Linked DNA regions of Canis lupus familiaris. The protein of the gene in region 4 interacts with the protein of the main gene of each other region in a pairwise test. Links are inferred from orthologs where the notes say so. Each region holds a gene or a part of one and is shown on either strand. Other genes may lie near its edges. The genes, in order: SCEL, MEAF6, FBP1, FXR2, PRAM1, PSME3 and NME1.

Region 1 (3,893 bases), on a different chromosome or scaffold from region 4:
GCTTCTGGGATGTTGCTGCTCTTTAATTTTGATATACTTGATGTACTTTCCATGCCACTAGAACTTTCCATGCCATACAGCTGCCTACCAGATCAGCCCCTCTGCTGATTCCCAGGAGTCACTATTAATGTCACATTTTTAGTGTCTAGGCTTCACTGCATCATTTGACTGTGCCCTCAATCCTCCCTCCTTGTGGTTTTCCAGAGTCAGCTCACCTTGCAAACAGCTGCATGGATATGCTGCTATGACCCACCCTGGGCCCATACTCAGTTCTCAAGACAGGGGTTACAATGCATATCAAGTTAATTCTGGTAAACTAACACCAGGCTTTTGCTGTTGGTGATCCTTCTTTACCATTTAATGTTCAGTGGGGCACATAGGTGATGCTCATGAGAATACATCCTGCAGATTTCCAGTGGACAAAATGAAAGTAATTAGCATTTCAAACCAACCACTGGAAGCCAACTGTAATGCAAATGCACAACATTCTATTGATGGTGTTTCTTTATAGCAGAGGCTGGAAATATGACTTCTTGAGGGTAAGGGCCTATCTTATTTTTAAGCACAGCTTCAGCTTGTAATGCTGTGTTTTACACCTAACAGATACTCAGTAAATGTTTTTGGAAAAAAATAAGCTAATGCTCTATTTGCTAAGAAAAAACATGGATGGGCCAGGCATCAAAATTATATCCTCTTTCTGTGACTTTTATAAGATCTTGTAGTACCAGTGATCCTCTGAGTATCTTGCCTTTATGTCACACTTCTTTGAGGAATAAAGTCATTTACACAAGCATTAGAACTACAAATACTGTCTAGGTAACTAAAAACAAACTAACAAAAAAGGCAGCTTTTTTCCCCCATAATCCTTTGAAAAAGGTCTTTCATTAACAGTATGATCTTAATAAGGACAACACCAACATCAAAGCTTTCCCTGGGCTCATATTGTTACTGTTAACTTAAGGAAGGAAAAACATTCTTCACATAAGTATTGCTCTTAATATGAAGAATTTCAATTCTGTTACTAAAGTGGCTCTTGAACTTTTTCTTAGTCATCAGAGCAAAAGTCAATCGTCTGTAGGACCAGTCTGCCAAGCAACTTTTCTTGTTGATTAATATGTGAAATAAGCTACGTCCCCAGAGGTCTTATCTAAGCATTTCAATCCCATATAAAGTGGTTCCCACTTTACCAGGATAAAGACTAATTCCTCTGCACAATTATTTATGGGCCTTTAGAATTTGTTCCTGCTGAATATTGACTGATGTTTAATCACTCCAGATACCCTCTTTGGTACATTCTGTTTGCTCTGCTTGGAATTCCTCTACCATGCTCCTCTGCACCTCACTGAGCCCCTCTGTCCTCAAACTTTCACTCATGTGGCACTTTTTCCAACAAGGCCTTCTTGACTCCACCCCAGGGAATAGTTGCTTCGTTGGCCATGCTCTCCTAATTCTCTCCATGTATCTGTAATAAGCTGTGATCATCGAATCATACACTTGGCTACCCTCATGGCAAGGAGACTGTCTCACTCTTTGTATTCCCAGCTCCTCCCCCAGTGCCTCTGGAATGGAAGTAGAATAGAGAGTGCCTGCTTTGTACTCTTGAAGTGCTCACGGTCTTACATAGAAAATTTAAGTGTGTGGGCACCTATGTATGTATATATACGAATTATCCATAAGAAACTATTAAAAAAAAGAAACTATTGACCAGGAATATATAAGGAAGGACCTTTAGAGATAATTGAAAGAGGAAACTATTTATTGATCTATATAAGGACTAGAATAACTGAAATTATAAAATCAGACAAGTTTCATCTTCTTAAGTCTCCTCTCCTACCTCCTCCTTTCATTCATTTTCCCTCCTCTCTGCTTCTAGTCCTGGGCTTGATCATAGGATCAAGGCTCTGGGCACAACTAATTCACTTTCATATGATGAGCCTAGTGGTCTTCATGGGCAGGCCTTGAGGCAGCACAGGACTCTAGGGCCACATTACCTTTGTTCAAATCCTGCTGCCACTCAACTGGCCGCATGACAGAAGCAAATTTCTTGCCCTTCCATGCCTCAGTTTCTTCTTCTGTGAAATGATGTGAAAATAACAGGACCTGCTTCTCAGACATATTTTGAAAAGTAAATGAATTTATGCAAGCTAAGTGCATGGAAAGCACACTGCCTGTAGGAAGCATATTAGCACTATATAAGTATTGATTATTTTTATTTTACACTTGTGTACCCTACTGTGGAAATTTCAGGCCTGTCTGCTAACGCCCTGAAACTAGTAAGCTTTGCAAGGTGCTATTTAAGGCAGTCCTGGTACCTTCCCAAAGGAAAAGAATCACGGAGCTGTTGGCATTTCATAAGGTGCTGTGTGACCTGAGGTCTTTTGGACTTGCTGATCTTATCTGTGGTTCGTTTGTCATTGAATGTTATTTTTCCAAAATAGATAACAAAACTCTCTTTTCCTCATCAAATTTGTGGAGAGGTTGTATCTTCTTGGAGAACATAAATTCTGTCATGAAAGCTAGCCCTGTATTCTGAGTCTTAAAATGATACCAGGAGATTTGTTATAGAGGAGCATTTTGGGGACTCTAGACCCTAGAGTCTAGGGTACCACAGACCCATCATTTGTGAATTTACCAAAATGCTTTTGAATGGATTTGTATTTTTGTCCTATTGAATGTTTTGAGAGTTAAGATTTTATACTGATTGACAGTATAATTTTTCTATGATATATGCAAATTAATAATTCAAAACCCTCTTCTAGCTTCAAGGGGTACTCATGACCTAGTTCAATTAGGGAACTATGAGCATCTTTACCCTGACCAGATGCACTCTTCATTGCTAATGAATTAATAATCTGAGACTTTCCTTCATATTAATTCTTTGATAGTATTTTGAGGTAACTAAAAGAATCAATTCTGTCACTAGAATAAGTAAGTCCCAAACTTTTCATGATTTTCACACAATTTCCTAAAGTATCAACAAAATTAACATATCATTTCCACATGACTTTATGGGGAATACATCTGTCTCTTGCATGATGACAAATTTATTTGTAATTGCTATGTCTCTGTAGGTCTGTCATTGAAAGAGATATGTGTACTTATTGCCGGAAACCTTTGGGTACAGAAACTAAAATGATTTTAGATGAATTACAAATTTGCTGCCATTCCACTTGCTTCAAGGTAAGGATATGTTTATTGCAGTTAACTAAATATAAAATTGCATAATGACTGGAATAAAAATAATTATTTAATGAAATACAGGAGGTGAAGTTAAAGCTTTCAGAAACACTCTCATCCATATTAATAATGTATTACTTAAATATTTCTCAGAGTTCTGCAGCCTAAACCTCAAAGGTTTATAATTACTATCTTGGCTTTAGGCTTAGAGTTGATTACTGACACATTTATTACTCTTACCCTAGAGATTTAAATCTGTAAGAATATAAACACTTGTTCTCTTTATAAGTTTTTGCAACATTTTAATAAATCATGCATTGCATAAAAACAATGAAATCCAAGAAGAGAAATTGTTAAGAAAGCTAGCAGCTTTTTACATGAAGCATGAAATTTGGACTGATAGGCTTAATGATAGTTGAAACTACTGAAACTTTTGAGAATATGATTAGTTATAAATAATTGTAGCTGAGTATAATAAAAATAAGCTTACATAGTGGAACTCCTCAATTTCTGGTCCTACATCATTTCTTTTACTTCTCGCCCTAATATTGAGTAGGTCAACCTGACAGTTGTTGGGGTAACTGGATGAGCACTGAATAGGGAATCTGAGGGCCTGAGTACAAATTCTAACTTCCACTAACTTTGGCTGTCATTTTGGAAAATCAACTAATTAGCTTGGCTTCCATTTCCTTATTTGTGAAATGAGGTAGCTGACT
Region 2 (3,893 bases), on a different chromosome or scaffold from region 4:
TGACCTGCTTTCATCAGTTGTTAACATGTTGCCACATTTGCTTTCTCTCTAATGTATATAAACATACACATATTTATACTTTTTTTTTAAAGATTTTATTTATTTATTCATGAGAGACACAGGCAGAGGGAGAAGCAGGCTCCTTGCAGGGAGCCTGACATGGGACTCGATCCCGAGACCCTGGGGTCATGCCGTGGGCCGAAGGCAGGTGCTCAACCACTGAGCCACCCAGGGATCCCCACATACCCATATCTATACTTAAAATTTTTAGAGGCACCTGTGTGGCTCAGTCAGTTAAGCATCTGGCTCTTGATTTCAGCTCAGGTCATGATCTCAGGGTCATGGGATCAAGCACCATGTCAGGCTCCATGCTGAGCATAGAACCTGCTTAAGATTCTCTTTCTTTCTCTCTCTCCACCCCTCCCCCTCCTCTCTCTCTGTCTTAAAAAAGAAAAAAAGTCAAAAATTTTTGATGTCATTACAGATACATGGGAAGTTGCAGCAATATTACAGAGGTCCCGTGTACCCTTCACCTAGTCTTTCCCGATGGTTGGGCTTTATGTAACTGTAGTAGAATATCAAATCCAGGAAACTGACATTGGTACAATGTGTATGTGTGTGTGTAATTGTCACTGCCGTGTAGACTCCTGCGTGCACCACCTGCGTGCACCACTGCAATCAAGATACAGAAGTATTTCATCACCACAAAGATCTCCCACCTGCTACCCCTTTATAGTTATATCATCCCTTTCCTCCATACTTTTTTTTGTTAACCATTTAAGCAGATAGCACGACACTTTGCTATCTAATTATGTCAGCATTTACCTCCTAAGAATATTTTCTTTTCTTTTTTTTTTTTTTAAGATTTTATTTATTTATTCATGAGAGATACATAGAGAGAGGCAGACACAGGCAGAGGGAGAAGCAGGCTCCATGCAGGGAGCCTGACATGGGACCCGATCCCGGGCCTCCAGGATCACGCCCTGGACCCAAGGCAGGCGCCAAACTGCTGAGCCACCCAGGCTGCCCTTTTTTTTTTTTCTTTTTTTGAAGAAGAATATTTTCTTACCTAACCACAATTAATGCATATAGAAAATTGCATTACATTAATAGTATCATCTACTATAGTCTTTATTCAAATTCCCCTAATTGTCCCCGACATGCTTTGCTACCTTGTTTTGATCCCTTCAGTGTTCATGTATCAATATTTGGCTATTATGTCTCTCTTGTCTCTTCATTTAAGAGAGTTAAGAGAGTCCCCCACCCTTTTTGGCAGTAAAGTTGTTCGTGACACTGTCTTGCAGAATGTTCCAATTCCAGATTTTTCCTTTTGTGATGAGAGATCCTTTAAGGATTTTTGGCGAAAATATTGCATAAATGATTTGTATGCCTGGTGTGTTGTTTACCTCAATTTTATTGGGAGGCACATAGTGTCAGATTGTCCCATTATTGGTACAAAGATGGAGCATATGATTTCTCCGTTGTAAAAATTTATTTGTTCTCTGTAATTTATAGGTAGTTTGGGGGCTGTACTTTTAGGCAGTGTGAATATACCGCTTTTCCAAATTTTTATTCAGTGGTTTTAGTATCCATTGTTGATTTTTACCCGACTCATTTGATGTACTGTGGATTCTGATTTTACTCGTCCTGGTACATGGATCACTGGTATTCAGAAAGAAGAATCTTCCCTTCATATCTTCTCGCCCTTTCGTTCTGTATCTCTGGCCTTCTCTCTTTAGTATCACTAGAGACCAATGGATTTTTTTTTTTTTTAAGATTTTTATTTATTTGACAGAGAGAGAGGGAGAGGGAGTGCGCACAACAGGGGCAGTGGCAGGCAGAGGGAGAGGGAGAAGCAGGCTTCCCACTGAGCAGAGAGCCCCCCAGGCCCCTGGGATCACAACCTGAGCTGAAAGCAGACATGTAACCGACTGAGCCACCCAGGTGCCCCAGGACCAGTGATTAAAAAAAAAAAAAAATCAGTGTGTGGGAATCTAGTACCGTTACTTTTTTATTGTGGAGGTTTATTTTTTGCTATAAACTTACTGAAATACATGCAGAGAAGCACATACGTCATAAACATACAGTTTGATGACTTTTCACGAAGCAAACACACCCATCATTATCCTTTCCAGTGCTTGATTTGTCCCAAATATGGCCAGAGGAAGCCTCCTTTGTCCTGCTGATGTGACCCTATTAGACTCTGTTAGTCTTCAGGCATTTTGCTGCTTTCTGTCCTAGCAGGGTCTCTTAGCCTCACCTTGCCCTTTTCTTATCCCAGAACTGAGACCAGCCATTTCCTTAAGGAACCCTGGCTTGTTCTTTAAATTTTTTTTAAGTTTTTTTTTCCCTATTCACGAGAGACACAGAGAGGCAGAGACAGGCAGAGGGAGAAGCAGGCTCCCTGCAGGGAGCCCGATGGGAACTCGATCCCAGGACCCTGGGATCACACCCTGAGCCAAAGGCAGATGCTCAACCCCTGAGCCACCCAGGCATCCCTCATTACATTTTTTACATTAAGCTTATCTGACAAAACCATTTCATATCACTAGTCTATGCTAGCCGTTTTTAATAATAAGTATCAAATACATATGAAAATGTTAATGACAGTGACCCAACTGAAGTAATGTCCCACAGTGGAGCACCCCCCTATGCGCTGGAAACCGTTGCTGTCTGGGTGGGCATTTAGCGTTAGGGTCCTGTCGGTCACTCCAGAAGGTGTGGAGGCATTTCTGTCTGAAAGCTCGTAACTTAAAAAAAAAAAAAAGACAGTGAGAGAGTTCCTTACTGTGCCCTGGGCCATCCTCAACTCGAGCCATAGATTCAGCTTGGTGCTTATGAGTTTCTTGTGTGTGTTTTAGAAACTCCAATAGCAAAAACGACCGAAGGAACCGGAAGTTTAAGGAAGCTGAGCGACTCTTCAGTAAATCCTCAGTTACTTCGGCAGCTGTAAGTGAAGTGGGGGGAATCTTTCTGTGGCCCATTGGGGAGAAACCCCTCAGTTAAATTTCTGCTAGTTCCCTTTCTCCCTGCTGTCCGGGGGCTCTCCGGAGGTCTGTGATAATTTTTCTAGTAACAGGTTTCTTCTTTTTTTTTTCTTTTAGGCAGTAAGTGCATTGGCAGGAGTTCAGGATCAGCTCATTGAAAAGAGTAAGTTTTTTTTTTTTTTTTAACTTCTTTATTATTTCATTTTTAGGTTTGTCTTTACCTCCTATCCGACTATGTCTCTGAAGACTACATCTCTTATACTCTTGCCTCTTTTTTCTAGAAGTTAGGGAAACCTTTAAGTCTCTTTAATCCTGTCTTTTTGTTGTTGTGGAGGAAGAAACCGTGTCCCTCTAGCCTCTTCTATCATGCAGAGGTTGACTGTAGCTATTCAAAGACACAGAGATATGTCTTTGCTGCTGATAAGTGTTAGGGAGTTTTTTTTGTTTTTTTTTTGTTTTTTTTTTTTTTTTTTAATTTCAGACATATCTGATAACTCTCCATGTCCCCACTTTAATAATTCTTAGGAAAATCTGATCCTGTGAACAGAATGTACCTATGTGTTCTTAAATATAAAACATAGGGTAGATAGTATTTACTTTGTAAAGAAATTGTATCATTCTATGTAAGCCATCCAGTCTAATTCTGTTCTAAGGTCTGGTGATGGAATACAGATCTGTGCATTTATCTTTCTGAGACTCTGGGTAGCTGTATTGGACACTCTTCCTGTACAGTGGGTCACTTTGAAACATAACCTGCTTTTTGTATCATGGCTGTGTACTTCTTTCAGATGGTGTATCTTATGGGGTTCAGTTCTTGTGTTTGCATTGATCCAGTGATTGGAGGAAATAGGATATTGGTAGTTTGGGAATTAGAACTTCTCAGTGACTTTGATTATTATCTCTGTG
Region 3 (3,893 bases), on a different chromosome or scaffold from region 4:
CTCCTGGTGAGGTCCTGGGCTTTGTGGGCGTGGCAGTTCATATAAACGAGAAGGTAGGCTGCCTTGGCCCTCTGCACTCTTGTACTATTGGACTTTGCCTCCTTGGAGGAACTGGTGCTTAATAAATAAACAAGGGCAGAAGAAACGGCACTAGATGCAGCCTCCCAATGAGGCGACCTCAGGGGAAAATAGTGGCAGAACCAGAGCAAAGTTCGCCCTGAGCTTAGTGTGCAGTTTCTGGAACCACTGAAGTTTGCAAATGTACTGCTCTGCCAGAGATTTACTGCTTCCCCAGACAGTCTTCCAGTGACTTCTCTGTTACCTTTGAGTTGGTGGACGTGTAGAAAAAATAAAATCTCTTCTTGTTTCCAGGTCTTAGACCCATGTCCCCAGGAGTTAGTTTCTGTGTATTTGATAGGCTTTCACCTCCCTGAGCTAATGGCCCGCCAGTGTTCAGAACAGTGCAGGCCTGCTGTGATACTCTCCTGCTGGGGACACCATCTCATTAACCTACAGCTCACCCCTGCCTGCGGGCTGAACCTTGGACCCCCTCAGCGCTTTCTTTTCATTTTGGCTGATGATTTCTGCTAAAAAGACTGAGACAGCTCTATGTGCATCTCCAGCTGGCTTTACCTTTCAGAAGGCTTTCAGTTTCTTGTCTATACTTGGAGGAGACTCCTCCTTCATGTCTGGGATGTTCTGGCCAGGTACCAGGGCAGGGCGTCGGGGAAGCGTGGCTTTGTGAGCTCTGCAGCACCCATTGTGTGGTGGCTTGGTTTTCAAGACCTTGTTTGTAAAAGTATTTATTTATTTAGTTAGTTTTCTGATTTTTAAAGGATGTTTCTACAGAATTGTGGTCCAAATTTTTGGAAATAAAAAAAAAAAACATAAAAGATAAAAAGAAGAACCACTCACATGAAACCTTCCAATAAGCATGGTTAATTCTAGTGTCTTTTTCTCCTTTCCCATCTGCATCCTCCTTCCTGCTCTCCTAGTCCTCCTTCCATCCCTCCCTGTCTTCTTTCCTTTCTAGGGCAAACACATTCCTTACCTGCAGGAGCCACTCTCTGCGATGGGGGTAGATGGCTGTACTGCCTCTTTTCTTCTTATGTCTTGCCTCCAGGGAGCAGCCCCCTCCCCGCAAGGGCAGAGCTTCAATCACCCTCTTCTCAGGACACTAGGACCCCCAAACTATCCTCTGTTCACAGCAATAGGAGTGAGGTGACGCTTCCTCTCCGAATTCCAGTCTCCCCTAAAGCACATTGGCCCTAAGGGCATCGACTCAACACTGGGACTTGCTGGACTTAGTGGCAGCAGTTCTGAGAAATGTTGTCCAGATCAGCAAGCAAAGGCACTTGATGTCGTAAATGCTGTCAGTCAGGACTCAGGATTCTCTTCTTTTCTGTGGCAGCGCACAAAAAGGGAGCGCCAGGGCAGAAGTGGAAGCTGAGAGCGCACTGAGCACGCCCTGGGACTTGGTGCCCACCTCTCCTGTACCCCACCTCCTGGCTGCGCCAACAGATTTTCTTGGAGAGGCAAAGTTGTATATTGCTTTGAACACACATTTCCCTTCCCCCAACCCCTGGGGACACTGCTATTTATTTTTTGTTATTTTGTGTTATTATTATTATTACTTTTTCATCATGATAAATGTGCTCTTTAATCCCCATTGCACCCCACCCCCCCAAACCAGCAGCTCATCCTCTATACCTGAGACTCTGGTCCTTGGTCACTCTGTCTCTCTTTTTCCTTTGAGTGTTTGTTTCTTAAACTCCACATATGCATGGACTCACAATTCTTATTCTCCGTCAGGTTTTGCTGCTGTTTTGTGCATTTCTGCCCTCACTACTTTTGTATGGTTTCCTCCTTGTTTCGCTGAAACCATTTGAAAGCCAAGCGCCTTGCCTGGCTCCCCTGACAACCGGGGCGGCAGCTCTTCTCTCCTGTTTTCTTTCCTCCCGCTGACTCTCCGACTCTCCGGTGCTCCCGTGGTCCCGTTCACCAGTCCCGGAGGGGCAGGCGGGGGACACAGTGTCCCAGGGACCTCACACAGGCCTGGGGGACGCGGCTCACGCTCTCTCCCTCTCCTTCCTGTCTCCCAGGCCATTGGAGAGTTCATTTTGGTGGACAGGGATGTGAAAATCAAGAAGAAAGGGAACATCTACAGCCTCAACGAGGGCTATGCCAGGGAGTTCGAGCCCGCCGTCACCGAGTACATCCAGAGGAAGAAGTTCCCCCCGGTGAGTGAGGGCCTGGCCAGGGCCCCCGGTGACGCACCCATATGTTGGTTCATGCCTCACCCTGGAGGCTCCAGGCGGCGGGGGTGGCCGGGGCTGGGATTCCACAGAGCGCTGACCCCATGCGGAAGGTCCCATCTGTACTGGCGACCGGGACTCCTGCGCTTGGATGTCAAAGTCCCAGGGCCGTGTCAGCCTCTGCTACTGTCTCTTGGCAGAAGAAAATCCGGATGATCAAGTCAGCCAGATGAATGAGTTCATGGGCAGTAAAACGTTTCCCTCTGTGGTCCCTGATGTCAGGGGCACGGAGCGTGGTCCTCTTACCTGGGTGCCTGCCCGGGGCGGCCACTGGGTTGCTGGCAGCCATCTCAAGGCTAAGAGTGTCCTTCCTGGTACCCTTCTGAAGAGGTTAAAATCATCAAATACGAGAAGAAATGGTTCTATGTAGGAATATCCAATATTGTCATCTCTTACCTCAACGCCATTGAAAGCTGTTGTGTTATAAGGAGGAAGCCCAGATATTGTTAGTATGACATTCAGGGCCACAGAGCTGGCCCCAGGGTCTCTTTCCAGGTTTATTATCTCTCCTTCCACCCTACCCTACATTCCCTTCCCACCCCCTGAACCCTGCACACATGCTGTGTACCAGGTTCCTCCCTGGGCCTCAGGGAACCAGCATCTGCTTCTCTGGGATGCTGGGCTTTGCTTGGACAGTCCCCACCCTATACTGCCCACCCCCCCCCCCAGCCCCATCTCCCTTGCCCAGCTCCTTGGCTTGGCAAAATCCTTCTCAGCCTGCAAGGTCCTGCTAAAAGGTATGATTCTGTGATTCCTGTCCCAGTCCCATAGCCAAAATCAACCACACCCTCCTCGGGGCTTCTGCAGGTCATTTGATCCTATTATAAGATGTGTAAGAGGCTGACTTTTCTGCTCCTGGGAGACAGGATATTCATCAGGTTTCCTAGCCACATCCCCAAACACGCCCCTTGTAGGTGCTCATTAAATGATTGTTGAACTGGATGAGTATAGAGGACAACCCTGATTACTGTTGGTCTTTCCCTTGCAGGATAACACAGCCCCTTATGGGGCCAGGTACGTGGGCTCCATGGTGGCTGATGTCCACCGCACCCTGGTCTATGGAGGGATCTTCCTGTACCCAGCGAACAAGAAGAGCCCCAAGGGAAAGGTAAACGAATCTCCTGAACAGTAGTTGAAAATCAGTGGATTCCATTTGGAGCCCAAAGGATTTGATTTAGGAAGAAAGAGAGATTATAGCAGCCTTATATTATATAATATAATTAATATGACATATTAATTATATTGCTGCTACACTCTGTGGTAGGAGGCTGGGGATGTCTGTGGCATATTCTTTCCTAGATTGAAGGATGTCCTACTTAAAGCCAGGTGATATCGGCTTAAAATGGTTTCTTGAGAGCCCCCCCATTGCTAAAGATAAGTAAATAGTGTTATGGTCAGGACGGATGCTTCCAGTGGGTGTCTGGTTTGGCCTGGGCAAAATGAAGGCCATTCATAATGTGAAATGAAACAGTTCAGCTTCATTACCAAGGTAGAAAATCAAATATGTATCCTATAGAGGTTTCCTTTGATTGCTTTCAAAAGGCATAACATAGAAATAATTAATGAACTGATGTTGGC
Region 4 (4,354 bases):
TTGTAAGTGGCATCACAGGCAGCGTATTCGATGACGTAGAACTGGCAGAAAGGAAGAAACAAGTGTGGATGACCTGAGCGTCTGTCCCCCCCCTTTTCTGTGACTATGGTCCGTGCTTCCCATCACTCACATCTCCCTTCATCATCCGCACCCGGGCCAGCCACCAGCCGCAAGGTTCCTGCTCATTGGCTCGAGAATAAACCTGGAGCCGAAAATAAAGAGATACTGAGGCCCAGCTAAAAACATCACGAACGAAAAAAAATTAAAAAATGAAAACATCATGAACGCAACTTTCAGACCCTGGGAAGCACATTATACCACAACAAAGGAGACACGAGGAAGGAGCTAATTAAAAGCCCAGAGGGTGCTGTCACCATAACGGGAAAGTAACTCCCCTGAAACTGGGAAGCTCCCTGAGTTTGATCACAACAGGGAAAGGGAGCTGGTGCACTTCTCTCTTCCACAGCCTACTGGGCTGGGTTTCAGAGGGAGGAGAGTGAACCAACCAGAGGAGAGCCTGGGATACTGGTCTCAGGGCAAGGGAGACCACAGAATCCTGGAAAAAGTGACATTTAGAAGGGGTGGAGCCCTGGCTCTTACCTCCACCTCGTCCCCCTCCGTGATCTCTTTATTATAGTCAGCTGGAGGTGGGAGCCGGACATCCCCAAAAGGAATCTGTCTCTCGCTCTGCCAGCTGCAAGGGAAACCGTGACATGAAAGCTATTTGGGATCATGTTGCTATTTCTTCAGGAAGGGGTTACTGCCTCTGCTGGGCAGTTCCCACCTTCTCTGGTGATTAGAGGCTAAATTCTAAGCCCTGCTCCACTGTATCTTCTGTCTCCTGCTAGAATCCAAATACTAGGTCAACCGTTTCCCCCCCCACACACACACATTTCAGCCCATTCCTCTCCTGGGGTCTATATAAGTTGACCACCCACACCCCTGGCTCTCCCCCACCTATTACATGCCTCATAGGACTCAGCCGCCCCCTCTTCTCCACTCTCCTTCTAGGACCTAGTATGCTGGATTCTCTATTCCCAAGGTCTTACTTGTTTTCAAAGAAGATGGTGACAGAGTCTTCATGGACATCCTTCACAAAGCCCTAGAATGGATTTTAGAACAAAGTGAAAAGAAAAGAAAAGAAAAGAAAAGAAAGAAAAGAAAAGAAAAGAAAAGAAAAGAAAAGAAAAGAAAAGAAAAGAAAAGAAAAGAAAAGAAAAGAAAAGGAAGGGAAGGGAAGGGAAGGGAAGGGAAAAAAGAAAGAGAGAAAGAAAGAAAGAAAGAAAGAAAGAAAGAAAGAAAGAAAGAAAGAAAGAAAGAAAACGACAATTTACTACCATCAAGGGAAAAGAGACGGTTACCTAGAGTTTTAGATAGAGACACAAGAAATTTAAAGATAGGACCAGAAAAACTTACCTGTACTGGGGACTGGGGCAAGAATATGAAGTTGAGGCAGGGACAAAAGAAATGACACTGACATGGAAAGACAACTGGCAAAATCCACAAATAAGATGAGACAAATGACACAGAAGGGGAAAACATCACCTGCATAAGAACAGCCTGGAGACTGATGGGTCTACTATAATTCCCACAGGGGCCTCCCTATCTATCTGCCTCCTGTTGTGCTGAGCAACTTGCCAGAGTTCAATTAAAATACCAACAATACTCAGCAAGGCTAAGAATATCCCATGAGACAGTGTGAGGCTGTCCTGGAACACCTAGAGGACATCAGGATCTGCCAAGAGAGAAAAGGGTATAGCTCCCCAACGCAGCAAGAGACCTGAGCAAACTCGGTGCCTTCGTGCCTGGGTCCTAAGTGAATTCTTGGAACACTGTTGAAGTTCAAAAGGATGAACACAATTTATAGAAGGAGAAATCAGGACTTAGGATATGTGAGATTTCTGAATGCTAGACTATGACACGCTGCTACGAATCTGAAAAGGGTAAGACCCCCACACCCCAAATTGAGACCATGACTTGGGAGAGGAACAGGGATGACTGAATAGCTGGTCCACTTCCTACTATCTCAACAAAGACAGGCAAGCTCTATGTTCAATCCTATGCTCCCAATTTTTCTACCTTCTCTAATTTTCACATATTCAAAATTAGGGATTGTTGTTTTTGAAAGTCCAATTTATCAATTTGCTCTTTTCTAACTGAGCTTTTGGTTTCCTGAGAAAATTTTGCTCAATCCAACACCCAAAGCTTTCACCTATTTCTTCTACAAGTTTTGTAGGTTTTTTTTTCTTTTTTTCTAAAAAAGATTTATTTATTCATGAGAGAGAGAGAGGCAGAAACACAGGCAGAGGGAGAAGCAGGCTCCATGCAAAGAGCCCGATGCGGGACTTGAACCGGGGAATCTGGGATCATCCCCGGAGCCAAAGAAAGGCAGGCGCTCAACCGCTGAGCCACTCAGGCGTCCTAAGTTTTGTAGTTTTTATTTTACATTTAGATCTATGATCTGCTCTGAGTTAAACTTTGTACATGGTGCAAGATATGCAGAGTTCATTTTTTACCCGTGGACAGTCCGGTTGAGCACTATTTGTTGAAAAGACTACCCTTTCTCGACTGAATTGCCTTTTTGCTTTTGTCAAAAATCAGGGAAGTGCAAATTAACATATTACCAACAGACAGAAAGCAGATTGGTGGTTGAAAGAACTGGGAGTGATGGAAATATCTTGATTGTGGTAATGGTTTGACACGTATCTATATAGATATGTAGACTGGTATCTAAGTCAAAACCTCTCAGTTTATACTTCGAACATATGCACTTCAATATTTATTCCTCAATAAAACTGTTAACAAAGAACTAGGGGTTGGCGCGCCTGGGTGGCTCAATGGGTTGAGTGTCTGTCCCTTGATTTTGGCTCAGGTCATGGTCTTGGGGTGGTAGGCTCGAGCCGGGCTTTAGGCACCACACTTAACGGGGAGTCTGCAGTAAGTCTGTTTGAAATTCTCTCTGCCCTTCCCTGCCTCAAATAAATAAATCTTTTTAAAAAAATTTAGGGATTTCAAAAAGTCTAACACACAAGAACCATTCCTGAACTCTGCAGCTATGCGTAACAGCTGAGCTTAGGAGAGAAAACACCGAAAATGCACACTTCTATCATTACCACCTCAATGAACTGGTTGAACGTAAACATTTACTATACTGCTGTTTCCTTACGGTGGGAAAACCAAAACTCAGATTTCATTCTTTGATACCAGCTGGCCATCCTTCTCTTCTTTTGGGATCAGATCTTGTTGCGGCGCCTCACTATGCAGAGCTTTACTACTGCCCAAGGCATCTGGTCCTCCTGGTGCCTGCCCTTCTGCTCAGCTGTGCTTTCGTTTTCTCTGCCATTCCCCATGTTTTCTCCACTCTTTGTACAGCTCCACCTATACCCAAGCTTGCTATTCCACACACGAGTCTTCTGAGGCATTTTCACTCCTCACTGTTTGCCTGAGTCCTTCTTCCCCCTTGGGTTCTCAGCTCCTTGAGCATCCTCCACCCTCCCCTCCTAACAGCATCACTTTCCTTTTCTTTTCTCCCTCTGTGAGGGTCTGTGTGGATTTCTAGAAACATTTTACCTAGCTCCTTCTGTCTTTATCCAATTCTTTTTTTTTCTTTATCCAATTCTTTATCCAAAATGTCTGTCCCTAAACTTGAAAAATAGTTTAAGAGAGGATTAGCTCTTCTCAAAACATTTTAGGGATGAGATAAAAAGCATGGAGGAGATAGAAGAGAATCACTTGTCTGCCTCCTTTAAGAAGAGATTCCCGCTCCTAGATATACTTCTTCGCAAAGGATATTCCCATGGTTCTAATCCCATTCTCCCCCAACATGTTAGGGTTAGCCCTCAGGGAGAGGTAGCACTACCACCCTGTTTTTCCTAGCTACCACTATCTGTCCCCAAGGCAGAAATAGCTCAGAATGGAGTTTCCCCTCACATTACTCAGCAGTTCAACCAAACACCACACAATCTTAAACTTCTAGGGTCTTTTTCCTTCAAATACTCACCAGAACAAGTTTTCTTCCCAAACTCATGTTAACTTCACCCACATCATCCATTTTTTTCCTCCAAAGATACCAGTGGTAGAAAGTGAGAGATAAGCAGGTGAGAGCAGGAGCAGGTGAATCAATCTCTAGAAAGCCAACTAGATCCAAAGAATGACTCAATTCAGTGGCTGCAGCATATCCCGGCTTTGGCTTAAAGGGCTTAGGACCAGAAAGAGGAAGAGTACCCAAGCGTTCTAGATACTTGTTTCCTTAAATAAGATAGAAAATTATTCCCCACCTCTACCCTATCTTCTAGTCCTGGACTCTCAAAAGAAAGGAGGGGGTTCTGGGAGAAAAACAGGAGGGGTCTGGATA
Region 5 (2,679 bases), on a different chromosome or scaffold from region 4:
TGGGGGCCCTCACCAGGGTGTCCTCAGAGCCCGAGTTTGGCCTCCTCCCCAGGAAGTTCCTGCAGCCTGAATGCCAGCAGCCCCCTCGAAAGTTCTCACAGCCCGAGCCCAGTGCTCTGCCCAAGAAGCACCTGCACACGGAGTTCTTTGGTGATCTCCCTAAAAAGCCCCCACTCCCTGGCTCCGTCTCAGAGAGCTCACTCCCCGCTGCTGTGGCGGGCTCCCGCCCCAGGCTCCCATTCAGCCCTGGCTTTGGAGCCAGGGAGCAGAGATCAGGAGCTCGCTCTCACAGTGGAGGCTCGAGGCTGGGCCTCCAGCCTGGCCACCCACCCCGGCGGAGGCCTCTGCCCCCAGTAAACAGCCTAGGCCCCCCCCCAGCCAAGCCCCCACTGCCCCCTGGCCCCAGGGATGTCCAGAGCTTCCGAAGAGCCGCAGCCGCAGCCACAGGTAGGTCACAGCAGCCTCCGCAAAAAGCTGGGAAGGTAAAGGCAGGGCCTGCCTCCCTCCCGCTCTCCTCCTTCCACAGCTCTGAGGAGGACCCGTTCTTCTGCTGGGATCCACCTCCAAGCCCGACAGACTCAAGACATCCTGCAGTGAGTGTGGGGAGTTAGTGGGTCCTGGCGCAGGTTTAAGGCTGAAAGAGGCCCTCATCTCAGGTTCCTACAGGGACCCGGACGAGGCCTATGAGCTGTATGACGACGTGGAGCCCACGGACAACTCCAGCCCCAGTCCCATGGGCAGAGGTTTGTTGGTGGTGGGGCTGAGCCCTCAGCCAGAGCATCCTGCCCAGGCACCCGGGGACCATTCATTGCAAGGGCACATTCTTCCATGCTGTTGCGGCAAATCTGAGGGACAGTCCGTCTCCCTGGCAGTGCCAGGGGAGAAAGTGGAGGGCAGGAAGGGCCTTTTAGAAAGGCCATGCCAGCTCCTGACACAACAGTAGAGGTAGGGCAGCCCAGAGGCCAACACCAGTGAACGTACTGTGGCCACGGCAGGGGTGTGGCCCAGGGTGGTGGCAGGCGGCATTACAGAGCAGTGGAAGAATCAGAAAGAGGATTTGGTGGCATGTGATGCAGGGGCGAGAGGGAGCAAGTGAGCCCATGACACGGATGAGGCCCAAGTCAAGCTTGACACTTGGGTGCAGAGAGGAGGTATCCCTGAGTCGGGGACAAGGTGTCAGGTTCCATAGTAGACTTGTTGCACTGGAGGCGCTTGCTGGATGTCCAGGCAGGACTTGGGCCTCAACTGAGGCATGGGCTGTAGACGGAGACCCTGAGCCTGCAGTCCTAGACACTCTGTGCTCAGGTTCCTGAGGACCTTTCTTTCTCCCTTCTTCCAAGTCTCTGCTCCCAGAGAGCAGGATAATGGCAAAGCAGACCCGTCTCCAGCCCTGCTATAGGTTAATGCTTTCACCATTTTTTTTTGGGGGGGGGGGGGGGGGGAGTGACTTTCATGCAAGCCCTGTATGTGAACATCACTGAACATGTACAGCCACCCCCCACCCCCAAGGCAACAGCATGCCCTTTTACAGAGGTGGAAGCCTGAGAACCCCAGAAGCAACTTGCCCCAGTTCACACAGCCGGCAGACAGGAGCCCAGGCCCTGTGCTCTCAAGACTTCCCTGCCCTATCTTTGGAAGGGCTTCCTACAGGGCAACCTTTTATTAAGGGTGGTGCCTTTGGGATGCTCCGCGCCTCCCCCCACCCCCCCCACCCCACCCCCGCCCCGCTCAGCCCCAACACCAAGTCTGCTGCCTGTACTACTCTTTCCCAAGCCCCTTCTGCTTCTCCTGGGCTTTCCTCAGGGGCTGCTTACAAAACTGTCTTAGTAGAGCTTCCTGACAAGGCTCCTCCTGCTTCCGCTCTACTGAGGCTCTTGTGGCTGGGGTCTGGGGGGCCAGTCTTGGAGAGGGACGTGGGGAAAGAGGCAGTTAGCTTCCAGCAGCCTTGAAGGTATGCCCCCCCCCACTCTTCCCCAATCCCCAAACAGACCAAGAACATCCCGACTTCTGCTCACTGTCCCTGCCAGTGGAAAATCATCTCCCCATTCCATGCCAGTCATTCTGCAAGACTCCAACAAAATACACTTCTCAAATCTCTCCCTTCTTGAAATACTATGTGGGTCCTCACTGGTAATACGCTGTCCCAAAGGCTACTTTGTACTCTTCTAGTCCAACCTCCCACTCTGCCCTACTTGGGAATGGTAGCAGCCCGACCCCAGAGGTTCCTTCCACAGCTGGGAGCTCTCCTGGAAGGGGCTGGGGCCAGCACACGTAGCTCTTTCTCAGATCTCAATAGGTCACCCTTAGAACCTCCCTTACCTATGTGCCTGATTAGGGTCACACTGCCAGAAATTTGGGCTGCAGGTGTGCCAGGTCTGTCCTGTGCCACAGTGCACAGGGGCATGCTCTACCCCGTGGTGGGTTATAGGGGTCCTGGGGTGCCTCTGGGAGAAGCAGGAGCAGTTGGAGGGAATATCCTGGATGAAACTGGAGATGGCATCATCATCTGAGCACCAGGATGTGGCTGGAGTCTGGAGCAAAAAGCCAGAGGCTTCAGGCTTCAGGTTCTAGATCCTTCACTCAACTGGTATTCATGAGGCTCTCGTAAGCCAAACCCCAGGGCCAGCAGGCTCCTACGTGGAATGCTGGCAGGTTGCCAGAAGTCCGCACTCACGGGGG
Region 6 (4,558 bases), on a different chromosome or scaffold from region 4:
CTTTTTAATGTGGCTACTAGATGATTTTTACTTCTATAAGGAACTCGTGTATTTCTCGGCTCTGGGACAACGCCATCCCAGGGCCTAGTACAGCGTCCTGCCTCCATTTCACTGAGCGAAAGAACCAATGTTAAGAGAGACCGGATGAATGAGCGAGTGAAGAGGTACGGTCTCTGCCTCCTATTAGGAAAATAGATAACGGCATTGTCCTGAAAGTCGGGAGATCTGGGTCTGGAAACTGTGTGGGCTTGGACAAGCAATGCCGCGCTCCGGTTGTCAATCTGCCCATCAGGCAGCTGATCTCTGAGGTCTCGAACTGTATGAGGCTAAGTGACGGAGGAAGGTGGAGAAGCCTGGGACAACAGAGCTTGACTTCTGTTTGACTCTAGCCTAACACTAGAGCTTCGGCCGACGGGAGGAGGCAGCAAGAATCACAGAGTAGAACCCCCGAGCCCAGCGCCGGGGCCGCCGGCTTCCTCGGGCCGACGTCACTGGGGCGCGACGGCGCTGTCCGTCCTGTCCTCGAGGCGGCAGCGGTTCAGAAGGTCCCTGTGATGAGGGCGAGCGCCGAGCTAACAGAATGTCCAACAGTCCTGGAGTCTCTCTAATGCTCAGTTTTAAGCAAACCACCCTCGGCTGCTCTCCCTCCTACTTCGCCCTTACCCGGCATTGGATGCCGGCTGCTAGGAGTCCGGTCTCGGACGTCCAGGGCTGGACCCCAGCGCGGCTGCGCAGGGCACGTGCGCCTCTCCGGAGTCCCGGCGATTGGCTGTGATGTAACTTCCGGCGTGAGCGGCGAAAGCCGGGAGGGCGAGCGAGAGAGTGAGCAGGCAGCAGGCAGCAGGCGGGCGGGCGGACGGCTCGGAGGGAGGGAGCGAGCGAGCAGTGAGTGAGCCAGCGAGGGCGGTCGCGTCCCTAGAACAGCCGAGATTCTTCCCGTCCCTCTGACCCCCTCCCCGGAGCCCACAGCGCCTCTGGTCTCCAGTGGAGCGGACACGGCCCGGCCCGGCCATGGCCTCGTTGCTGAAGGTGGATCAGGAAGTGAAGCTCAAGGTAGCGGCACCGGTCTGGGCCTCCTTACCCCCCGCTTCGATTCCCGAGCAGTCTGACCGGCTCCCCACTCCCCATGGCGTCTTTGTCTCCCTGGGGACACCAGCTCTGAGCTTCCGCTCAGCTCAGCCCAGCCCCCCACTCCCGGAGACGGCATCAGGGGAGAGGATAATATGGGGTGGCCTTGTGAACCGCATCTGGTGGTGGAGATCCCCGAGGAGACCTCCGCGGACACGTGGTGGACTCAACACTTTAGGCCAGTGACAGCTGGAAGTCCCCAGTCCAGCAACGTCCCCGCCTCCGGATGCTACCGCTGTTCTACCCCTACCCTTGGCGTCAGGCCTCCCTGGTATCAAAGGCTAGGTCTGGATGGGGGCTTGGCACGTTTGTGAGCTCACATGCCCCCTGTCTACCTGACTTTCGTTTGCTCTCAAATCCAGACAGCTTCAGACACAAGGAGGGAGGGTGGGAGGGAAAGCAGGCGGGTGCTACCCTCAAACCCCACTTCCCTCTCCTGAGATGGAGAAATGGATCCTCAAAAAAATAAAGTATTTACAGTCTGGGGGTCTCTCAGCTTCTCATTACAATTACAAGGTGAGGGGAGTACGGCTGGATTTGGGTTTTCCCGTCCTGCCCTTAACCTCTGTTGCCAGGTACTGACTTGCTGTTACTGAATTGCTCTCTTTGTTAATTTTAGGTTGATTCTTTCAGGGAGCGGATCACAAGTGAGGTGAGTGCAATAAAAAAAATAAAATAAAATAAAATAAATAAGCGTTGGTTGATAGTTGGGAATTTCCCAAAGAAGAGATCTGTAGAGAGAGACCTTCCCACAATTATTAATTGAGCTGTATTTTCCTTCATTTTTAGGCAGAAGACTTGGTGGCAAATTTCTTCCCAAAGAAGTTGTTAGAACTTGATAGCTTTTTGAAGGTGAGAGACTCTTTTCTTCAAATTCCCGTTTTTTTGGCTCTGGTCTTTCTGTCAAATGGGAGAAATCATGTGTTGATTCTATTTTGTTTTGTACAGTAAAATGCTCTCATTTCTTGCCCTTCAAATAAAATACTTCTTTGTTCATTTTGAAAAGACTGATGTTGTTTTGGGGGTGGGCGTCTCTCTTTCAGGAACCAATCCTAAACATCCATGACCTAACTCAGATCCACTCAGACATGAATCTCCCAGTCCCTGATCCTATTCTTCTCACCAATAGCCACGATGGACTGGACGGTGTGAGTGTCCTGTATTTTTCTTTGTATTCTGAAGCAATAGTTCTCTAGTCTCTGTTCTTTACTTCCTAGTCAATTTAAACACATACGGAGGAGACAGTGGATTAGGATCTAGGAACAAGGGCTCTTATAGACCTGATGATTCCAGTATACCACTTTGAGACCCTGGTTTTCATTTATAGCATGAAGTGTGTAATGTAATGTTACTTTGTCCTACAGTGAGTTCCTAATAGGACTAGTAGCTACAGGTTTCCTCAAGTTATCTGGTCTGTCCCTGTGGCTCTAAACAAGATATTTCTTACCTTTTTCAATGTCTTGAGTATTGTTAGAGGATGAGTAGTGCTTGCTATATAACTGTAGTCTCTGTCTATGTGACATATATTTAGAACCCCGTGCTTGCCAGTTACATGTCCACATTTCATAATAACAGTGTTAACACTGTATTGTCTGAATTACTGTGTCCTTGATAGAGCTTGCAATTCTGGAAAACAGAAACTATTAATCATCTTTGTATCCCTAGCACCTAGCACTGTACTTGGTACATAGTAGGTGCTAAGTACATGTTTGTTGATTGAATATTGTACTTCTTTGTGGAAGTTGAAGATTTGTACATATTCCCTTTAGTATACTCACTGTGCTTTGAATGGTTCATTTTTCCTGTTGCTTATAGTATCCACCCCTCTCCCCCAGTTGCTTAATGTGTCATTTGAAGGCTGGTCTTCCCAACTAGATTGTAACTTGCTTTGTGGCAAGAATCTTTTTTAAAGTCTTATATGTGCTTAGTAAATTGTGCATAAATGAAAACAGCCTATGGGGCCAAAGAGATTAGACTTGCTTGAAGGGTAACTTGTGATGGGAATATGGGTGTCAAGAGCAGACTAATTCCTATCTCTGTATCCTTAGCCCACTTACAAGAAGCGAAGGTTGGATGAATGTGAAGAGGCCTTCCAAGGTAAGAGCCAGTCTCCCCCGCCCACCTACTCCCTGGCTTGCAACCCTGAGCAGGAGGATTGATCTGGCAGTCTCTGATCAGAAAACAAGACCGAATTTTATTTTCCAGCGTTAACATTCCAAAGTTCTACAAACATGGTTATTATTTAGCACCCCAAACCTAATTTCCCAATAAATAGGGAGCGGTTGACTTAGTGTGGACTGTCAAGGGGGAGAGGTTTGAGGTGGCTACACATCTTAGATTTTCCACAGAAGTTCTAGTTATTTTCTCTTTTTCAGTAATAGTTGGTGCATTAAATCTTTAGAGCATATTTTAATTTCCTATTCTTTCCTTATTCAGATTTTGGCACTTTTTTTTTTTTTAAGGATTTTATTTATTCATGAGAGAGAGAGAGGCAGAGAGGCAGAGACATAGACAGAGGGAGAAGCAGGCTCCGTGCAGGGAGCCCGATGCAGGACTCAATCCCGGGACCCTAGGATCATACCCTGGGCCAAAGGCAGGCGCTAAACCGCTGAGCCACCCAAGGATCCCTTGACTTCGGCACTTTAGACACTCATTTTAGATAAAAAGCAGAGATCATAGCATCTCATGGGTCTGGGAAACAAGGAAGGTGGGGGTATTATGTCCTGTCCCCCAATCCCTCAATCATTTGACCTTCTTCATGTCCCTGCCAGGAACCAAGGTGTTCGTGATGCCCAATGGGATGCTAAAAAGCAACCAGCAGCTAGTGGACATTATTGAGAAAGTGAAACCTGAGATCCGGCTGCTGATTGAGAAATGCAACACGGTGAGGCAGGGGCTAGTGACTTAAGGGCTGACCCCAAAAAGCCTGGCTTGAATTATGAAAAATATTGGTTGTGGGGCAGGAGGCATGGAGGTGATAGAGGAGTTGGCACATTAAGTATCTTGGCTACCATGTTCCTGGCATCTGATCCCAGCAGCAAGGATTGTATATTTCATGGCTTCAGCAGAAAAAGCGAGGGTCTTCATATATGTGTGTGTGTGTGTGTGTGTGTGTGTGTTTCTATATATATATATATGTCTATATATATCCATATATATGTATATATATTGGTCCTCTCACCCTTCAGGTCAAAATGTGGGTACAGCTTCTGATTCCCAGGATAGAAGATGGGAACAACTTCGGGGTGTCCATTCAGGTAACTTGCTTGTATTACAAACTGGAGAGGAAGGTTCAAAAGGTTTACTCTCCTTTTCCCTGCTTTCTCTTTGGCTCTTTGAGTGACATGGAAGTGACTTGACCTCGACCCTTGGGTTTTTTTTAGGAGGAGACAGTTGCAGAACTAAGAACTGTTGAGAGTGAAGCTGCATC
Region 7 (4,590 bases), on a different chromosome or scaffold from region 4:
GGGGGGGGAGAAACACAAACTAAAGATAATATATATGTATTTTTAAAGATTTTACTTACTCATGAGAGACATACAGAAAGGCAGAGACCTAGGCAGAGGGAGAAGCAGGCTCCTTGTGGGGAGCCCGATTGGGGACTCTGATCTCAGGACCCCGGAAACAAGACCTGAGCTAAAGGCTCAACCACTGAACCACCCAGGCCTTCCAGAAATTAAAATATATTAAGCTGTCATAATAAGAGGTTAACTAACCTACAGGAAGATAGAGCCAGGAGGTGGTGTGGCTGTCCTCATTAGGGATTGACCTTCAAGGTCAGGGGCCTCCTCCTTCCCTTCTTGTGAAGGCAGAGCAAGTCTTGAGCCCAGTCTTCTCTGTAAAAGGCAAGATACGAGATTGACATTCTCTAGGCAGACTCGTTCCTGCGTGATGTCCCAGCTCAGATACTACTAATGGCTCTAGTTCTTCCACCATCCACCTTTCTCTGGTGTGTCTTATGATGTAGCATAAATTGTATCCAAAAAAAAAAAAATAAAAAAAAAAAAAAAAAATAAATTGTATCCAGTTGGGAAATCCAGATTTTTTGGCCCTCATTTTGGTGCTCTAGATTTGTTTTCTTGTTTGCAAAATGAGGGGGATTGTAATGAAATAATCTCCAAAACCCCTCCCAGTTCTAATACCATGACTGTGGCAGTGGGTTAGACTGTATTTCATTCTGCCTTGGACCTGACACCACTTTATCACTGTAGTTTCTTATCTGGATAAATCAGAAGGACAGTATCTTTTCTTTTCTTTTTGTTTTAAACATCCACTACCTTAGTTATGCCACAGTACAGGTTAATAGAAGCTTTTAAGTCAAATGGGATAGAAAAAATAGCCCCTGCTTTTGGACCCTTGCCCACCCTGGGATATTAGTTCAGGAATAAGGGGACTGAGAAGGAATTGGGGGGTTTGTGTTTGCTTAGGGAAAAATTTTTTCCCCCCTTAGGAACATTTTTTACACACAGGCTACTCCAGAGTTTTGTCCGTATAGCACCTTGTAATGAATACATTCGTACACTGCAATAGCACACTATTCTTTTTTCTAAGATTTTGTTAATTTATTTTAGAGAACATGCGAGCATGAGCAGGGAGGAGCAGAGGGGGAGGGGAGAAAGAATCTGAAGCAGACTGCTCTCTGAGGCTCTCAGTGTGAGGCTCAGTCCCCTGACCCTGAGATCATGACCCAGGCTGAAATCAAGAGTTGGACACTCAATCGACTGAGCTGCCCTCATACCCCTTTAGCACACTGTTCTTATTGGTATATACGACTAGCACTGTAGGAACATTGTGTATACATATATCTTTAAAGTTGTCTTAAAAGTAGCACAGCGTGGTGAGCACACTAGGCATTGGGTTTTTACCTGAGAGACTTGGAGTTGGCATGACAGATTTAAACCAGCTTTATGGGGTAATCGGCTTGCGATGGATAATGATGTAGGCAGGATATTCCGTGCCGTTTCATCCTCCCAGCTGTTTATCCTCAGGACCATGGCCAACAGTGAACGCACCTTCATTGCCATCAAGCCTGATGGAGTCCAGCGCAGCCTTGTGGGAGAGATCATCAAGCGTTTCGAGCAAAAGGGATTCCGCCTCATTGCTATGAAATTAATCCAGGTAAGTGGACTTCACTCTTCATATTTCTGTTTTCTTGGAGTACAAGGGATCATTGTAGGTTAGCCTCCCTGTTCTCGCCTCCCCTCCTCTTTAGCCTTCTTCATGTAGGGTGAACACAAGCATCCTGAAAGCTGGAAACTCACTGGTGGCTAGCACTGTGGCTGAGTCCTACCACAAACCCAGTTTCTGGGACTTCTGGGAATAGCCTCCCCCTTTCCTTTAGCAGTGCGGAGTTCCACATATTACTACTGCAGCACTGTGATTTCTTCTTTCTTTCCTTTATTTTTAAGCAATCTCCACAGCAAATGTGGGGCTCGAACTCAACTCTGAGATCAAGGCTCCACTGACTGAGCCAGCCAGGCGCCCCTGCCCCTGCCCTTTTTCAAAGATTTTATTTATCCATGAGAGACATAGAGGCAGAGGCAGAGGGAGAAGCAGGTTCCTTGCAGGGAGCCAAATACTGGACTTGATCCCAGGACCCCAGGATCATGACCTGAGCCAGAAGCAACCGCTCAACTGCTGAGCCACCCAGGCGTCCCCCTTTCTTTCCTAAATTTTTATTTTATTTTATTTTTTTCTTCAGATTTTTATTTAAATTCTAGTTAGGTAACATACATGCAATTTTGGTTTCAGGAGAACACTGTGATTTCTGACTCAGAGCCCTGGGCGTGTTTGAGCACCCAGTCTTGAGCTTCCTGAGCAGATAATTTCAGAGAAATTCCCCCTCCTCCATTCCTCTCTTTGAGTCAGGCAGGTTGATTGTCAGCAAGGAGATTTTTCCATCCTTATTTACCACCCACTTCGTGTCTAGCATATTAGGCACCATTAGGGCATGTTGTGGGAAAGCTGTGGTTTTGTCCTTTGGAAGGCCCACTTGAAAACAGCAGAGAGGGCAGCCCCCGTGGCGCAGCGGTTTAGCGCCGCCTGCAGCCCAGGGCGTGATCCTGGAGACCCTGGATCGAGTCCCACGTCAGGCTCCCTGCATGGAGCCTGCTTCTCCCTCTGCTTCTCCCTCTCCCTCTGCCTGTGTCTCTGCCTCTCTCTCTCTCTCTCTCTGCATCTCTATGAATAAATAAGTAAAAAATCTTTAAAAAAAAAAAAGAAAACAGCAGAGAGAAATGGCACTTGCAAGAAACCTACAAAGCAGTATTTCAAAAAATGAAAAGGAGGGGGCACCTGAGTGGCACAGTCTCTTAAGCGTCAGACACTTGGGTTCGGCTTAGGTATCTCAGGGTCATGAGACTGAGTCCCATGTCAGGCTGCCCACAGCAAGGAGGCTGCTTGAGATTGTCTCTCCCTCTGCTCCTCTTGCTCATTTCTCGCTCTCTCTCTCTCTCGCTCTCTCTCTCAAATAAATAAATCTTTAAGAAAAATTTTTTAAAACCTCGCAACCCCCCCACCCCCAAAATGAAAAGGATTAATTAGTCAAGAATCCTTTTTCAGACAGACCTGGGAAATGAGAATTCAGATTCTCAAAGCCTATAAATTAGAGAATGGTCTTTTTTTCCTATTTATAGAGTCATCTTTTTTTTAATTTTAATTTTTTAAGATTTTATTCATTTGAGAGAGAGAGAGAAAGAGAGTGAGCAAGAGCAGGGGGTGGGGAGTTGGAGATACTCAGATTCCCCGCTGAGCAGGGGCTTGATCCCAGGACCCTAGAATCATGACCTGAGCTGAGCAGATGCTTCACTGACTGAGCCCCCCAGGTGCCCCAGTAGAGTCATCTTTGGAGTCTGCTAGTGTATTTTAAGTTTAGTTTGATTTGCAATTTAGTTCCTGTGTGATGTTTTAGGAAAACTGCTTTAGTATAAAATGGAGTAGATGGATGTTGATGCAGGGGGGTACATCATGGAATGATTAGTGCCAGGTGTTAGACAAGTATGGCTTTCCAGAGAGTTTGTATATTAAATTAGGTTTTGAAGGCAAAGTGAAATTTTTTTTTTTAATATTTTATTTATTCACGGCCTGAGCCGAAGGCAGACGCTCGACCACTAAGCCACCCAAGAGTCCCGGCAAAGTGAAATTAGAAAGTATTGTTGATTGGGCATTTACCGTGTGCTAGACATGTGTTTTTTCTGGCTCGCATGACAACCCAGAGACGTACTTATTTCTATGCCTATGGTTGTCAGTTATGAGGAACCTGGGGCTTGGAGAGGTTAAGTAATGTATCTGAAGGCACATAGTGATGGAACATGGATTTTAACTCTGGTCTCTCTGACCCCTAAGTGCATGCATTTTTTTCCACTACACTCAGTTTCCTATCAAGGATATGGGCTTGATGAAGATGGACAGCTGCCAGGAGCCTACAGAGTTGTTTATATCTGACATGGAGAAGGGTGGAGAGGGGAAACTTGATGTCCCCCCTCTGAAAAAAACCCTGTAATCTGTTCTGCAGATTAAAGATAACCAGAACCAATTAGTAGAATTAAAACAGTGTTCGGGGAAGGGAAGGTCAAGTCAGTGTGTGTCAGGAGACTGCCCCTAGTAGTCTTCCAGGGGGATTGGAGGGGATGGGAGAGGAATTGCTAACACGGCTGGTCATGTGGCTGTGTCATTTTACTTTGGCAAGTAACAATCAACAAGAGGCTGAATGGTAGGATGATTTGGATGTGCTTTCTGGCAGCAGATCTGCCCATGTGTGGGTCTCCCTGCAGTGTGCAGTACTATAGAACTGGAAAAACTGAGTCCTTGTTAGACCCTGAACAGGCCCTGTGCGCAGTGGCAAAGAACACAGCCGAGGTAGTCGGAATTGCCAAGCAGCTGGTTTGCTCTCTAGCTAACTTGATTTGTTCCCACGTACCAGCCTTGCAATGTGAGAGTTTCTCATTCCTTCTTCTGCAAAATTATTTATTGCTAGATGTCATGTACTTTGGAGTGATTTGTAAAATACTTGTGGGAATTGCATAATTGCCACACCCGGTCCCTGGCCTGCATCATCT

What was found.
Region 1: the proteins of FXR2 (region 4) and SCEL interact in binary tests that used the Homo sapiens proteins (3 or more experiments, as listed by UniProt). The two-hybrid records come from large-scale screens. The link is inferred for Canis lupus familiaris from reciprocal best matches to the Homo sapiens genes FXR2 and SCEL.
Region 2: the proteins of FXR2 (region 4) and MEAF6 interact in binary tests that used the Homo sapiens proteins (3 or more experiments, as listed by UniProt). The two-hybrid records come from large-scale screens. The link is inferred for Canis lupus familiaris from reciprocal best matches to the Homo sapiens genes FXR2 and MEAF6.
Region 3: the proteins of FXR2 (region 4) and FBP1 interact in binary tests that used the Homo sapiens proteins (3 or more experiments, as listed by UniProt). The two-hybrid records come from large-scale screens. The link is inferred for Canis lupus familiaris from reciprocal best matches to the Homo sapiens genes FXR2 and FBP1.
Region 5: the proteins of FXR2 (region 4) and PRAM1 interact in binary tests that used the Homo sapiens proteins (3 or more experiments, as listed by UniProt). The two-hybrid records come from large-scale screens. The link is inferred for Canis lupus familiaris from reciprocal best matches to the Homo sapiens genes FXR2 and PRAM1.
Region 6: the proteins of FXR2 (region 4) and PSME3 interact in a two-hybrid assay, tested with the Homo sapiens proteins (2 studies listed by BioGRID and IntAct). The link is inferred for Canis lupus familiaris from reciprocal best matches to the Homo sapiens genes FXR2 and PSME3.
Region 7: the proteins of FXR2 (region 4) and NME1 interact in binary tests that used the Homo sapiens proteins (3 or more experiments, as listed by UniProt). The link is inferred for Canis lupus familiaris from reciprocal best matches to the Homo sapiens genes FXR2 and NME1.

What each region holds. Positions count from the first base shown.
Region 1 is NC_049243.1:31,254,436-31,258,328, forward strand, and holds part of SCEL (sciellin), read left to right. Parts: intron 1-3,071; coding exon 3,072-3,180; intron 3,181-3,893. UniProt on the Homo sapiens protein: May function in the assembly or regulation of proteins in the cornified envelope. The LIM domain may be involved in homotypic or heterotypic associations and may function to localize sciellin to the cornified envelope.
Region 2 is NC_049236.1:5,020,099-5,023,991, forward strand, and holds part of MEAF6 (chromatin modification-related protein MEAF6), read left to right. Parts: intron 1-2,861; coding exon 2,862-2,949; intron 2,950-3,104; coding exon 3,105-3,150; intron 3,151-3,893.
Region 3 is NC_049222.1:72,706,486-72,710,378, forward strand, and holds part of FBP1 (fructose-1,6-bisphosphatase 1), read left to right. Parts: intron 1-2,102; coding exon 2,103-2,240; intron 2,241-3,303; coding exon 3,304-3,423; intron 3,424-3,893. UniProt on the Homo sapiens protein: Catalyzes the hydrolysis of fructose 1,6-bisphosphate to fructose 6-phosphate in the presence of divalent cations, acting as a rate-limiting enzyme in gluconeogenesis. Plays a role in regulating glucose sensing and insulin secretion of pancreatic beta-cells.
Region 4 is NC_049226.1:32,726,555-32,730,908, forward strand, and holds the start of FXR2 (fragile X mental retardation syndrome-related protein 2), read right to left. Parts: upstream 3,162-4,354; 5' UTR 1,552-3,161; coding exon 1,417-1,551; intron 1,103-1,416; coding exon 1,050-1,102; intron 695-1,049; coding exon 601-694; intron 203-600; coding exon 131-202; intron 42-130; coding exon 1-41. UniProt on the Homo sapiens protein: mRNA-binding protein that acts as a regulator of mRNAs translation and/or stability, and which is required for adult hippocampal neurogenesis. Specifically binds to AU-rich elements (AREs) in the 3'-UTR of target mRNAs.
Region 5 is NC_049241.1:53,444,576-53,447,254, reverse strand, and holds part of PRAM1 (PML-RARA-regulated adapter molecule 1), read left to right. Parts: coding exon 1-447; intron 448-526; coding exon 527-593; intron 594-666; coding exon 667-743; intron 744-2,679. UniProt on the Homo sapiens protein: May be involved in myeloid differentiation. May be involved in integrin signaling in neutrophils. Binds to PtdIns(4)P.
Region 6 is NC_049230.1:20,061,769-20,066,326, reverse strand, and holds the start of PSME3 (proteasome activator complex subunit 3), read left to right. Parts: upstream 1-1,526; 5' UTR 1,527-1,569; coding exon 1,570-1,644; intron 1,645-1,747; coding exon 1,748-1,780; intron 1,781-1,917; coding exon 1,918-1,980; intron 1,981-2,171; coding exon 2,172-2,276; intron 2,277-3,176; coding exon 3,177-3,225; intron 3,226-3,899; coding exon 3,900-4,012; intron 4,013-4,316; coding exon 4,317-4,385; intron 4,386-4,511; coding exon 4,512-4,558. UniProt on the Homo sapiens protein: Subunit of the 11S REG-gamma (also called PA28-gamma) proteasome regulator, a doughnut-shaped homoheptamer which associates with the proteasome. 11S REG-gamma activates the trypsin-like catalytic subunit of the proteasome but inhibits the chymotrypsin-like and postglutamyl-preferring (PGPH) subunits.
Region 7 is NC_049230.1:26,940,956-26,945,545, forward strand, and holds the start of NME1 (nucleoside diphosphate kinase A), read left to right. Parts: upstream 1-1,525; coding exon 1,526-1,651; exon of another isoform or gene 1,652-1,684; intron 1,685-4,590. UniProt on the Homo sapiens protein: Major role in the synthesis of nucleoside triphosphates other than ATP. The ATP gamma phosphate is transferred to the NDP beta phosphate via a ping-pong mechanism, using a phosphorylated active-site intermediate.